Linked DNA regions of Ovis aries. The protein of the gene in region 3 purifies or fractionates together with the protein of the main gene of each other region. This does not show direct contact. Links are inferred from orthologs where the notes say so. Each region holds a gene or a part of one and is shown on either strand. Other genes may lie near its edges.

Region 1 (3,519 bases), on a different chromosome or scaffold from region 3:
GCACTGTCTCCCCACCCAGGGGCAGAGACAACAGGCATCACGGTGCGCACGGCAGGCGGCCCAGCTCACCCCACTGCCAATGCCAGACCCTGCCACGCATTCCCGCCACGCCGCCTCGCATCGGGCACCAGGACCCGGAGGCCAGCGGCTGGGAACGCTCTCCTACAGTGAAGAGCAGCCAGAGCAGCAAGGTCTCCCGGCAAAGCTATTCTCAAAGACAAACACTTGTGATACCTTGCTCTAGAGGTGTCCTTTCTTTCCAAGAACTGCAAACTTAACAGTCCTAACACCACAATCAGAAAAACAAAGAGAAGTTTATGAATCAAATGTCTTCTGAGCAACATCTGCCTTGATGCTTAGTGTTTTCAATCAGACTCCTACACAGGAAATTCAGAGAATTCATTGTCCGACCAGGAGCAGCCCCACCTCCTTCCCACTGCAGAGGAAGCTAATTAGGGTGAAACGCACAGCCAAGGACACAAAGCGTTCAAACCTTTATTATGTTCCCGTGCAAGGTGTAAAGTCCACACTCAAACTCTCACTATGTTAACGTGCAAGGTATAAACTCTACAGCATCTTCCACAGGAAGAAGGGAAAAGGGTTTAGTTAAACTCGTGCACCGCTCAAACAGCAAGTTCAAGGACAAGCTACAAGAGTGGTGAGACGGCAAGGGTGCATCCGTCGTCGTGAGTCATGAACATGTTATGTGAATGACGACCCAGATGAAGAACTTACCGAAGAAGTCGAATGAAAATGGGTCCCTTCCACCAAAAAATTCCCTGAAGACTTCATCTGGGTTTCGGAATGTGAAGCCAAACTCAAATGGACTGTCGAAGTGACTTCCACCTACAGAAGCAAGCACAGCTCAGTCAGGGCCTCCCGCGTGGCAGGCACTGACACACACTGTCTACGCATTACTACCTGCATCCCGACCCAAACAACGAATGAGTTCCATACACCCGAAGCTCGCGCAAGTCCTGCTAGGAGCAAAGTCTCCTGCGCCAGGAGCTAAGAAACGCGCGCAGGTCCATGTCCGTGAGCGGTCCCCGAGCCGCCCTCGAGCCACCCGCGCACTGGGGGCTCCCGCCGCTCTGGGTGCGCCAGCCACACACAGCATTTCAGGCTGTGGAACAGCTGCTCGGGCATGTGCAGGAGGTCTGAGGTGTGCAAGCCCAAACGCCCACCACGGAGCTCGCGGGGCAGCAGGTTACTGCGCCACTTTCCATCAAAACACACACGTCCAAGCCTCATGACCAGAGGCAGCCACTTTGGTGGCTCTTTAGTTTTTTGATAGAACATCCAGTAAGGATGTTTTTGACACAACCTCCAATATTGATCTCAGGGTACACTCAGTGTATGATAGTAAGGTTTTACGGTATTTCCTATCTACGAAAGGTATACCAGTAAGTACTTTCTAGTACAAGATTTTTAACAGGCCTTTTCCAGGCCATCAGTCTCTCCTTCCTCTCCCCAGTCCAGCCTGCTCTACAGACTGCATTCCTGTTGACTGACAGACTGGATCGCAGTCAGACTGTATCATCAGGGCACCTCCTTTCATCACAAGGCCAGGAGAAAGACCAGTGTGCACACACGTACCTCCACCGCCACCGTTTAATCCTTCTTTGCCGTATCTGTCATAGATGTCCCGTTTTTTAGCTATAAATTTAAGAAGACAAGTCAGTAAAGACCAAGTTCTCTTCCCTCAAAGTCAGTAAAGCGTTTCTGAAGCTGTGAACGAAAGGCCCCCCACAGCTCTCAAGGCCCACACTTGTTTCTGAAGAGCTGGGACCCCTTACTGTGACACTTGAGGGCATCAAAGTCTGGCGGCTGCAGCCCCCGGGGTCCAAAGAGTCCGGCTGCAACTCAGGGACTGAACAGCAACAACTCCCTTAAAAACACCTCAGAATATTTTTAAGTAAAGCTTAAAAGACTTATTTAAAAAAAAAAAAAAAAAAACCTTATTTCACTCTACTGCTAACTGTGTGCCACGCACTGCATCAAAACCCCACTACAAAGCTGCAAAGCGACTCCACCCCTAGACATCGACCTGACTACAAAGTGCAACTCGGGAGAAGACCCACGGCACAGCAAGGAGCAGGACAGGGCCTTGGCGAGGGCAGAGAGGGGCCACATGGAGCCAGCCCCCAGCCTGGCCGTCCCTGGCCAGGCAGCAGCCCGCCTGAGCCCGGGCGATGGTTCTCAAACAAGAGCAGCAACAGTGCAGCCCTGCTCAGACACAGAGGCTCTGCAGACACACTGTGTGTGGCAAGTAAGGGGGCAACGGGGAAACAAGTGTGGAAGCAAGCTATCCGCAGCCAGGGTGGCTATCAGCGCCTTAAGAACAGTAGCTGTGTGTCTGTGCCGGTAACTCCTGGAACTGAAGGCTTCCTAAGGAAGCATGAAGAATAGACTCCCCCTTACAAATACACACAAAAGGCAGCATTTTCATGGCAGCTTTAAAGGTTCTGCTGCTGCCAAAAATCACGTTTGACGTTTGAATTTACTTCTCAAATTGTCTCATGTTCTTGATCTGTGGATCCACAAATCTGGGAGTGCTGATCAGGCACACAAGCAGGACAGTGATAGTCAACTACACCAGACGCTCATGGAGTGAGGTGACGAGGCCTTCTTCTAAACCAGAGCAGGTGTCCGCTTCCTCTGGTCTAGTCTTTCAAGCACCTCGGCCGAGAGTCACACCAGGTCACTCAGGGCTGCTTCCCGGCAAGGCGCTGTGAGCACTCTTCCAGTTTTCTCACGAAGTTCCACAGTCCTCGCCCTGCCCCAAGGCTTCTCTTACCAAGAACCCAAGGTCTGGCTAACACCCTCTGTACGACCCATGAAACTAAACCAACAGGCCTGAGCTTCCAGCGCCGTTCAGCTCCCAACTCTTAACAGGGCAGGGAAGCGTACAAGCTGTGGAGTCCACACCTCAGCAGTGTGCGCAACGCCTGACTTCCCGAAACTCAGGAGGGCCTTCCCAGGAGGCCAGCACCTCAGCACAGGGTGCTCAGGAGGGCGACGTGGGCCAGAGGCCCCGGCGGCCTCCGGCGCCAGGCAGACTTACAGAGCCGCCCGGGAGACGCCTAGAGGCCAGGGCACACAGCACTCACAGGGCCTTATCGGGAGGCTGGCGGGGACAGGACACCCAGTCTGCCCAGAAAACCCCCCTCACGACCCCGAAGCCCCTCGGCCAGGCCTTCCTCTGCAGGCCCCACCCGGGGACACAGCCCCCACGCTCCCCACTCACCGTCTGACAACACTTCATACGCCTCAGCTACTTGCTTGAATTTTCTCTCTGCTTCTTCTTTGTTCTCAGGATTTTTATCTGGATGCCACTTCAGTGCCAGTTTCCTGTATCTTAAAAAGGAGTTGAGGGCACTGATCACATCCCACTTCCAGGGTGGTGCCTAATGTATCATATGAAGCAAACATTCCAAAGCAAAAGCTCTAAGCGGAGACTAGACAGGCGTGGCGCACACCCTGCCCTTCCCCCAGGGGCAGCACCAGTGACGCCCCCCC
Region 2 (3,519 bases), on a different chromosome or scaffold from region 3:
TAGAACCTGAAGCCCAGCCTGGCGAATTGGAAAGGAGGTGCAGAGTGGCCCCAGAAACTCTGGCCTTCCCTGAGCTGGAAATGGAGAGACCAACCTTCCTGAATATGTAAAGCAGCCAGCCCTTCAGCTCCACCCTCCTTTATTTACACTTGGCTTTTCTCTCCCAGTAAATTCAACAACCTCAATTCTGGATCTTTGTTGGAGAGACAGGAGTGACTTCCTGATCTGGCCAAACTCTTGGCATGAATGACTTAGTTTCCTTGCCCTTCCTGTCTCCCCACCCTTTATCTTCCCAAATTGCTCCAGGCACTAAGGGAGAAGGGGTGTGTCAGGACGAAGTGACAGGGAGGGAAGGTGAAGTTGTCATCACAGACCCTTCTGTGAGGTGAACGAGGTGAACGGGGGAAATGGCCTGGCTCCTGGACAAGTGGTCTTTTCTCTCGGGCTGACTGTGGGATTTTCCGGGGACCAGGAGTGAGAGGGTTTGAGTTCAAGCCTCGGGACCCCTGCGTATTAATTAGGCTTCTTGGGCAAGTTGCCTTAACCCCTCTGAGCTTTTATTCCTCATCTAAGAAATAGGGCTGTGGGAACTTCCCTGGCGGTCCAGTGGTTGAGAATCTGTGCTTCCACTGCGGAGGGCATGGGTTTGATCTCTGGTTGAGGAACTAAGGTCCTGCGTGCCATGTGGTGTGGCCAAAAATAAAAATAAGAAATAGGACTCTCAATCTCCATGCACCTCCCCGGGCTCACCTACATGTGACCCAGGATGGCTTCTGCCTCTCTTCCCCCAGTTCTGGGTCGGTTAGAAGTGACCGGTATGGGTGGTTCCCAGAGAGGACTCTGTTTTGCTCTAAATGAGTAGCTGGATGACTCAGCGGGGTGGGTGGGATGCACTGTAGGTCACAGTTTCCCGCCCTGTGTCAGCTCTGAACTTGGGTGGGAGTCTGGTGTCCTGGGAGAAATGGACTTTGACATAACTCTTCCTTTTCACTCCTGGGGGGCTTGGTCCTGCGTGAGGCTAAATAGACTTGCTTACCCAGCCTTCGGGCTGGTGATGTGTGTGAGTGTGTAAAATGAGTGAGTCTGAGTGTGTTGGAGACCAGACATGGAGGAGGGGTAGGGCCAGTCTTACACTATTTAACTGTGTTCCCCGCAGGTCACAGAACTAGAGGGTGCATTTCAGGGTCTTTGTGCCCATCTCGGGTGGGACAGGCACTCAGGTTTGGGTCACATCCCTGCTATTCATGGTCTCCCCATCCAGCTTTCTTTGCTCCAGGGTGAATGTTCGTGAATGTGCTCTTGGGTGAACTAGTTTGCCTGGAGAGTAGAGGCCATGAGTCCCCGGGGACGTAAATGCCACCTTTGTTTTTCTCCACCCTCTGTCCTCACCCATCATTTTCTAATCCGCTCTCTCTGTGGTCAGTGCTGTTTGAGATCTCCCTTCCATCCTTCCTTCTGGGGCAGCTGGGTGGGGGTCTGTCCTGCTGGAGAAGATAGCGCCTCCATCTCCCCGCCCCCTCTGACCAGCCCTTCTCTCCCCAACAGGTAGCGCAGGGCCTTCTGTAGCCATGTCGGCCAAGGCGATTTCTGAGCAGACAGGCAAAGAACTCCTCTACAAGTACATCTGCACCACCTCGGCCATCCAGAACCGCTTCAAGTACGCCCGGGTCACCCCTGACACAGACTGGGCCCGCCTGTTGCAGGACCACCCGTGGCTGCTCAGCCAGGTGAGCCCTCCGTCCCGCCAGGCCCCTCCTCCAGGCCCAGATGTCCCCTTAGAACGTGTGATGGCAGATGGCCTGCCTGGGTGGGCAGGGTGCAGGGGGCTGAGCGCGTTTTGTGTTCAGCCCTTTGTGCCGCACGCTGAGGTGCTGCGCCTGGACTGGAACTGGTCAGCTGGAGTCCGGGTGGCGGCTCTCTGGTTATTAACCATGTGGCCTGGGGCAAACCATTTCACCTCTCTTGAGTTTTAGATTCCCCATCTGTCATATGGGCAAACCACTCACCCTGTGAATTTAAGGACTAGCAATAATGCCTGGAAAGTCTTTGGTCTGCTGCCTGGCATTTGGTAAATGCTCAGTAAAAAGCACCTGCTCCGTCAGGAATATGTCAGGGCCACGAGGAAATGCGATGCTGTACTTTGTGAAGAATGGCTGATGGAATCCACCCAGAGTAGGGAATCCTCTCTGTAGATCCATTTGGACGTCTCTGGCAGGTCCCAGAGAACTAGGACCAGTGAGGGGCCGAGTGGGAGGGTGTTCAGGGATGCAATTTTCCTTCTGCTATGAGGCAGCCCAAACCCCAAACCACAAAGGCAGTTGGTAAACTTCCTGGTACTGGAGGTGTGTGAGCAGTGGCCAGGGGCTGCTTGTAGATCTTGTAGGTGGGGTTCAAACATAGGGATGTCTTGACCAGATGTCTTCTGCGGTGCTTTGTCACCCCAGGGCTCTGTCTTTCTATTCTTTCTTTTTGGAATGTGGGTGCCGGTCCATATTCTGAGGTGTTGAATGAAGCTAAGATATCACATAGGGAGGGTAGGGAATCCTTTACTCATTCAGCAGGTATTCAGTGAGCACCTACTCTGTGCCAGACCCTATCCTGAGCCAGGACAGCTCTAGATTCCCGGTTGTCAAAGGTGTTGGCTGGGATAGGTGAAGGAAGCTTCTGGGAGCTGACCTTGAAGATGGGTGGAATTTACCTTGGGGGTGGGGTGAATTGGAAGCCACCCAGGCTATCCTGTGCTTTGGGGCCCTAGACTATTACCTCTTAACTCTTCCCTCTCCTTCTTTGCTCTAAATACAAACCCCTCTTGGAAATTCCCTGGTACTGCAGGGGTTAGGACTCCAGGCTCTCAATGCCAAGAGCCTGGGTTCAATTCCTGGTTGGAGAACTAGATCCCACAAGCCACATGGCTCAGCCAAAACACAAAACAAGCAAACCAACTCTCTTGTTCCAGAGCTTGGTGGTCAAGCCAGACCAGCTGATCAAACGGCGTGGAAAGCTGGGCCTAGTTGGGGTCAACCTCACTCTGGATGGAGTCAAGTCCTGGCTGAAGCCACGCCTGGGACAGGAGGCTACAGTGAGTCTGGGTGTAGGGTTGGGGTGGATGTGCTGTGGTAACAGAAGCAAACATGGCTGCTTCCAGATCTGCAACCCTATGGATCACCCCCGCGACTGGTCCGATTGCAGCCTGGGGAGGGCAGGAGTCCTGCAGAGCTGGCTTATGTAGTAGGGCCAGTTGGATGCTCATTCCGAGCTCCCCTGACAGGGAATGGTGAGATGTGCTGTACAAGTAGAAGTATTACAGGCACTTCTGTGGTGGTCCAGTGGTTAAGAATCTGCCTTCCAATGCAGGGGATGAAGGTTCTATCCCTGGTCGGGGAAGTAAGATCCCACGTGCTACAGGGAAGCTGAGCCTGAGGAACCCGAGCCAGGCCGAAATAGTCTGTTCCTTTAACAACAGTCGTGGTGATGGGACTCTGAGACCTACTCTGGGAACTCCTTTCTTTTCAATTACCA
Region 3 (3,519 bases):
AGTTGCGTAGGCATCGTGCGTCTCAGAGTCTGCCCCGGGGTCCCATGGCCACTGTGGCTCTGGCTGCTGGTTCTGGCAGTGTGGAAATCAGCCAAGGCCAGCCCGAAGACTGTGTGGTCCTTGTTCTTGTGATCTAGAAGAATGTTGTCTGTCAGCTCATATGCTTGTTTCCTGGCTTAGCAGACAACTTTCAGTCTTTCAGAGCAGCAGGCCTGTGCTGAACGGTTTTATTTCCCTTCTTATAAATGGGAACAGCAGATTGTTGCCAAATTTAGTACCGTTAAATGGGTAAGCGTTGGTTGCTCATGGTGTCTCAAAGCTGGAAAAGGGCCCTACGGTGTGGGTGGTCGTGAGTCTGCTGAAGACTCCTGCCACCAGGACAGCCCCTCCCTCTCCTCCTCACCCCTCTGCCGATGTTCCCTGGTGGCTTGGACCCAGAGACTGCGTGTGAGAGAGAGCGAACTTACTCAGCCTATCAGAGTTAAACCCAGCACAGAGCTGTGTTGCCCACTCTTTCAAGCTGAGGGGATTTCCCCTTCTCTGAGGAAGCCCTCACTTTCAGACGAAGGTCCAGGAGAGTAGGTGGGATAAGGGAGTGTCTCGGAGGAAGCAGAGAGGAAACCAGTTTTCCATCCTAACAGCTGATAGTCCTCTCTGGGTGTGGAGAACCTGCTTCCCGTAGCATCGTTGGGTGTGTGTGCTGCGCGTGCCTGTGACATCCCAGGCGCTGGCTCCCTTTGCCGTCTGGGTTAGGTGTGCTCAGCCCTCTTTCTTTGGCACTTCCTCTAGGCGCTGAAAGAAAAAGAGCTGGGGAATGAAGCCTATAAGAAGAAGGACTTTGACACAGCCTTGAAGCACTACGACAGAGCCAAGGACCTGGATCCCACCAACATGACGTACATAACCAACCAAGCAGGTGAGGCCTGGGCCCGGGCGCGGGAGCGCTCCCAAGGCCCCGGGGAAGAGGCAAGGGCTGACGCTTCCTTCTTGACCTTCTGCTTGGCAGCCGTGTACTTCGAAAAGGGTGACTACGGTCAGTGCCGGGAGCTCTGTGAGAAGGCCATTGAAGTGGGGCGAGAAAACCGAGAAGACTACCGGCAGATTGCCAAGTACGCTTGCCCTGGAGTGCCTTGGGTAGTGGGGAGGGTCCCGTGTCTGCATGGGGGGGCCGGAAAGGAGGCTGCGGGGGCTGAGACAGAAGGCGTTAGAAGGGCATGGTACGGGGCCCAGCGATGCGGGCTTGTGTCTAGATGTCTTTCCTCTGGAGAGGCTGACCTTGTCTGTGCTCTGCCCTTAGCAAATTCTTTTTCCTTGGGTCTTTGTCAGAGCTTACGCACGAATTGGCAACTCTTATTTCAAAGAAGAAAAGTACAAGGATGCCATCCATTTCTACAACAAGTCTCTGGCAGAGCACCGAACCCCAGATGTGCTCAAGAGATGCCAACAGGTGGGTAGGGAATGAGGGATGTTTTCTTAATTCGATTTATTGTAGTCATTTATTTAGTAATGAATTTGTTGTCTTCGGTTATTTTGTATGATGCGTCCCCTGTTAATGATGAGAACACATAGAAATAACCCAGTTTTTCTGCTGTCTTTTTCAGTCGACCAGGGTTTTGACCTTAAATTTGTTGAGGGTCAGTGCACTGACAGCGTTGTGGCTTTTATTGTAAATTAAGACTCTGATGCTGGGAAAGATTGAAGGCGGGAGGAGAAGGGGACGACAGGATGAGATGGTTGGATGGCATCACCGACTCGATGGACACGAGTTTGGGTAGACTCCAGGAGTTGATGATGGACAGGGAGGCCTGACGTGCTGCAGTCCATGGGGTCATAAAGAGTCGGACACAACTGAGCGACTGAATCGAACTGAAATGTTTTCTTACTTTATACAACCAAAGTATGTAGGGGGATGATTTTATTCACAGAAAGATTGGTCGGAAAAATAAGAGCTGCTAATCCGTCATTTCCATATAAGGCATATCTTTGTACCAAGTGTATGTCAATACCGGTGGTTCTGTTTCATAGTATATACATCTTGATAATGAGAAATGTGAAATTCATTTCTTTAATTGACGTAAGGTTGATTTACATTATTTCAGTCATACAACAGCAACTCAGAACTATTTAAAGTTATAAAATATTGGCTATATTCTCTGTGCTGTACAGTTTATCTTTGTAGTTTGTACATAGTGTAAGGACTGTAAAATTATTAATCCCAAAATTAAATCTCACCAGCAGTACCTCACAGTTCAGTCAGTAAAGAATCTGCCTGCAGTGCAGGAAACCCAGGCTCAATTCCTGGGTTAGGAAGACCCCCTGGAGAAGGACATGGCAGCCCACTCTGGGGTTCTTGCCTGGAGAATTCCATGGACAGAAGAGCCTGGCAGGCTGCAGTCTGTGAGGTCGCAAGAGTCGGACACGACAGTGACTAAACCACCACCGCCAAGCAGTACTTTCTGAAAACTGAAATTCTGATAAGACTGTTTATTAGCCCAGTGTTACGAGAGTTTAAATGACTATTTAAAGAACCTTTTTTAGGCAGAGAAAATCTTGAAGGAGCAAGAGCGGCTGGCCTACATAAACCCTGACCTGGCCTTGGAGGAGAAGAATAAAGGCAATGAGTGTTTCCAGAAAGGGGACTACCCCCAGGCCATGAAGCACTACACAGAAGCCATTAAACGGAACCCCAAAGACGCCAAGCTGTACAGCAACCGAGCTGCCTGCTACACCAAGCTCCTGGAGTTCCAGCTGGCGCTCAAGGTGAGGGCAGGGCAGCCTGTCCATGAGGAATGTGTCTTCCTCTTTTCATGTGCTCATTAGCATCAGTTTGACGTTCTTATTTTGATCATAGATTCAAGGTGATGGTGCATGTATGAGATTGTGAAGTGCAGGGCCTATGTGTGCCCTGTCCTGGCCCGTGTAGTGTTACTTGGCACGTGGGAAGTGCCTGGGAAAGAAGACCCTTTTCCCTTCCTGTTGCCTCTCTCCATGTGTTAACTGTTTGGCCTTTCTGACGTTTTGATTGCACAGTTGAGTGGCATCGAGTCCGCACACACTGTTGTGCAGCCATCGCCACCCTCTGCTGCAGAGCTTTTCCATCTTCCCAAGTGGAACTGCATCTTCTGAACACTAAACTCCCCATTCCTCTCCTCCAGCCCCTAGCAACCAGTGTTCTGTTTTCTGTCTTTGAATTTGATCACTCTGGGGACCTCCTGTAAGTGGGATCATACAGCATTGACCTTTTGTGCCTGGCTCACGTCACTTAGCATAGTGTCTTCGAGGTTCATGTTGTAGCATGTCGGTGTTTTCTTCTCGTGGCTGAATGGTATTCTGTTGTATGGATGGACCACACTGTTTGTCGGTTCACCCATCAGTGGGGGTTGTTCTGCTTCGGGCGGCGCTGCTGTGAACGGGGGTGTACAGATGTCTGTCTGTCCCTCGTATCGGTCCTTCCAGGTGTTGCACGCAGCAGTGGAGGTATTGCAGTTCTGTGTTTGATTTGGGGGAGGGGTGAACTGC
Region 4 (2,488 bases), on a different chromosome or scaffold from region 3:
AGCCAGTAAAGAAATTGTTAGAAAGCAGATACCATCAAATTGGTTCTGGGAAGGTAAAGCCATTTGGATTCTATTCAGTGAACGGTGGGGTGGGTTTCTTTGTTTTAAGGGAATTTCATAACCTGTTTTGAGAAGGAAAAAAATGGCTTGACATTAGAACAGTGGTAACAGTTTTGTCTTCTTTTTATCTTTTGTTTTTAGTGTGAAATCAAAGTTGCACAACCTAAAGAGGTATATAGACAGCAACAGCAACAACAAAAGGGAGGAAGAGGTGCTGCAGCTGGTGGGCGAGGTGGTACTAGGGGTCGAGGCCGAGGTGAGACCTAATTCTAGGGAAATGAGGCAATGGTTTAGGCTATCAACTGCTAAATATGAATAAGCCCATTGGAGAGTAAAGCCAAATTTAAACTGTTAGAGCACGCTCATTTTAGTCCATGGGTTTTTGTTTTACTGGTTTCACTTCTTCAAAGAATAGCCACTCTGACAGTGTCAGTACTGATGGGAAAATAGTCCCATTGAATGTAATAAGATTACATGATACACCTTGGCATGACAGGTTTTCTGTGGCAGGAGTCCTTGTTCTAAACATGCTTGCTGTCCCCTTGATTTTTTTTTATCCCCCATTAGATTTAGGAAGCCTGATACTGGCACAGTTGGACTTGATACACACACACACACACACACACACACACACCCTTTTTTTTTTTTTTTTAATAACTGTAGTGATATTTTCTTGACCAGATAGCACTGTAAATGTCCATTCTTCCTTTTTAAGATTTCCAGGGTGAGGGACAGGAATGCATCATTTTATTTTAGGATTGGGGGTCAGAAGTTGTTTCCTAACAATCATTGTGCATTGTTTCAGGTCAGGGCCAAAACTGGAACCAAGGATTTAATAACTATTATGATCAAGGATATGGAAATTACAATAGTGCCTATGGTGGTGATCAAAACTATAGTGGCTATGGCGGCTATGATTATACTGGGTATAACTATGGGAACTATGGATATGGACAGGGATATGCAGACTACAGTGGTAAGAATATTTATTTAACTTCATAAACCAATGGTATTATGATTCATCTCAATTCTGAGATTGTGTTATAGACGTGTTTAGAGTTAAATTTTTGAGATGTAATAGTCACGGGGTTATACTGACTTAGTGACTGGTTATTATGAGCATTCTAGAATGTGGTATGTGCCTAATTTATAGTAACTTAAAATGTCTTAATTCTACTATTTGGCATGCAGAACTTTGCATATCTAATAGCTTTTAAATATATAGCAAAACCATATCATTAAAAGCTAAGTGTAATTTTTTTGTCTTTTCCACATAGGCCAACAGAGTACTTACGGCAAGGCATCCCGAGGGGGTGGCAATCACCAAAACAATTACCAGCCATATTAAAGGGGACACTGCAGAAAACAGGTGTGTATCAGAGTTCAAGAAACCAGTGGAAATGTCTAATTTAATTTAAAGATCAATAGACAAATGAAAATGAGTAAAAACAAAATACCACGTAGCGTGTTTTTACTAAATTGTTAAATTTTTACTTGCTTTATGAGCCTGTTTTGCCTAAAATGTCTATAGATCTTTAACTTTAAAGTTTTATCTCACTTTCTTTAGTAATAACAGAAAAACTTAAGAGTTTTTCTGTTTGCTTTGTGTACCAGGTGGTCTAGAGGAATAATTAAACTTTTTAGAACTATTAACAGGTAAAGTACTGAAATGGGTACAACTTAAGGAAAACAAGAATGTTGTCTTCTAACTCTGACATTATACCTTGTTTGTACCCGCCAGCGGGAACTTCATTGCAGGCCGTGTGTCACCCTGACCACGTCTATCTCTGGGGGTCGCACGTTGCGGGCAGAGCGCAAGGCATACACCAGAAAACGCTGTCCTGTGGTATGGTCTCTTCCAACTTCATGTACCAGCGTAAAGATTAAAGTGGAAAACTTCAGACTTTGGCTTCTTTTTTAATCTTTTTGAAGATTAAGTGTCTAAACTTAACTTAAATGGTTTTTTACAGGAGTTAAAGTACATAAATGCCTTTTTACAGCTTAATCATTTTGGTCTTCTGTTTAGTGTTGTATTTCAATTGTGGAGCCTCATTTTAAGTGTTCATTCTTTAAGATTTAATGCTTGCTTTTTCTTTTTATAGCTAATAGTGAAATCTACAAACCAAAACAAGAACTTTAAAATCTGGGATTTAAATTAAAGATCATATGCACATAGCAATTTGTTGCCTTGAAATACAAGCGTGTTAGAAATTCATGTTTGTAATAGAATTTTACATGGCTTACTAGAGACACTTCTAGTAAACCTTGCATCTAGCACAGTTCAATCTGTGAATATGAAAAGATTGTAAAAAAAAAAAAGATTGTGTTCCCTGATTTTTTAAGTAAATTTTAATATTTTTAAGTAATTTTAATATGGTATCATATGGGAACTTCAAAGTGAGATGATGATGATTATAATTACCCAAAC

What was found. The genes of interacting proteins can lie anywhere in the genome.
Region 1: the proteins of STIP1 (region 3) and DNAJB6 purify together in Homo sapiens (affinity purification with mass spectrometry; 3 studies listed by BioGRID and IntAct, with this or other methods). This does not show direct contact. The link is inferred for Ovis aries from reciprocal best matches to the Homo sapiens genes STIP1 and DNAJB6.
Region 2: the proteins of STIP1 (region 3) and ACLY fractionate together in Homo sapiens (co-fractionation; 3 studies listed by BioGRID, with this or other methods). This does not show direct contact. The link is inferred for Ovis aries from reciprocal best matches to the Homo sapiens genes STIP1 and ACLY.
Region 4: the proteins of STIP1 (region 3) and HNRNPDL fractionate together in Homo sapiens (co-fractionation; 3 studies listed by BioGRID, with this or other methods). This does not show direct contact. The link is inferred for Ovis aries from reciprocal best matches to the Homo sapiens genes STIP1 and HNRNPDL.

Annotation. Positions count from the first base shown.
Region 1 is NC_056057.1:120,213,935-120,217,453, reverse strand, and holds part of DNAJB6 (dnaJ homolog subfamily B member 6), read right to left. Parts: intron 3,358-3,519; coding exon 3,248-3,357; intron 1,657-3,247; coding exon 1,597-1,656; intron 847-1,596; coding exon 736-846; intron 1-735. UniProt on the Homo sapiens protein: Has a stimulatory effect on the ATPase activity of HSP70 in a dose-dependent and time-dependent manner and hence acts as a co-chaperone of HSP70. Plays an indispensable role in the organization of KRT8/KRT18 filaments.
Region 2 is NC_056064.1:41,823,467-41,826,985, reverse strand, and holds part of ACLY (ATP-citrate synthase), read left to right. Parts: intron 1-1,540; coding exon of another isoform or gene 1,541-1,568; coding exon 1,569-1,727; intron 1,728-2,956; coding exon 2,957-3,079; intron 3,080-3,519. UniProt on the Homo sapiens protein: Catalyzes the cleavage of citrate into oxaloacetate and acetyl-CoA, the latter serving as common substrate in multiple biochemical reactions in protein, carbohydrate and lipid metabolism.
Region 3 is NC_056074.1:38,952,109-38,955,627, forward strand, and holds part of STIP1 (stress-induced-phosphoprotein 1), read left to right. Parts: intron 1-789; coding exon 790-916; intron 917-1,006; coding exon 1,007-1,109; intron 1,110-1,326; coding exon 1,327-1,447; intron 1,448-2,538; coding exon 2,539-2,760; intron 2,761-3,519. UniProt on the Homo sapiens protein: Acts as a co-chaperone for HSP90AA1. Mediates the association of the molecular chaperones HSPA8/HSC70 and HSP90.
Region 4 is NC_056059.1:97,922,982-97,925,469, reverse strand, and holds part of HNRNPDL (heterogeneous nuclear ribonucleoprotein D-like), read left to right. Parts: coding exon 1-53; intron 54-201; coding exon 202-316; intron 317-865; coding exon 866-1,036; intron 1,037-1,337; coding exon 1,338-1,408; 3' UTR 1,409-1,429; exon of another isoform or gene 1,430-1,801; 3' UTR 1,802-2,488. UniProt on the Homo sapiens protein: Acts as a transcriptional regulator. Promotes transcription repression. Promotes transcription activation in differentiated myotubes. Binds to double- and single-stranded DNA sequences. Binds to the transcription suppressor CATR sequence of the COX5B promoter.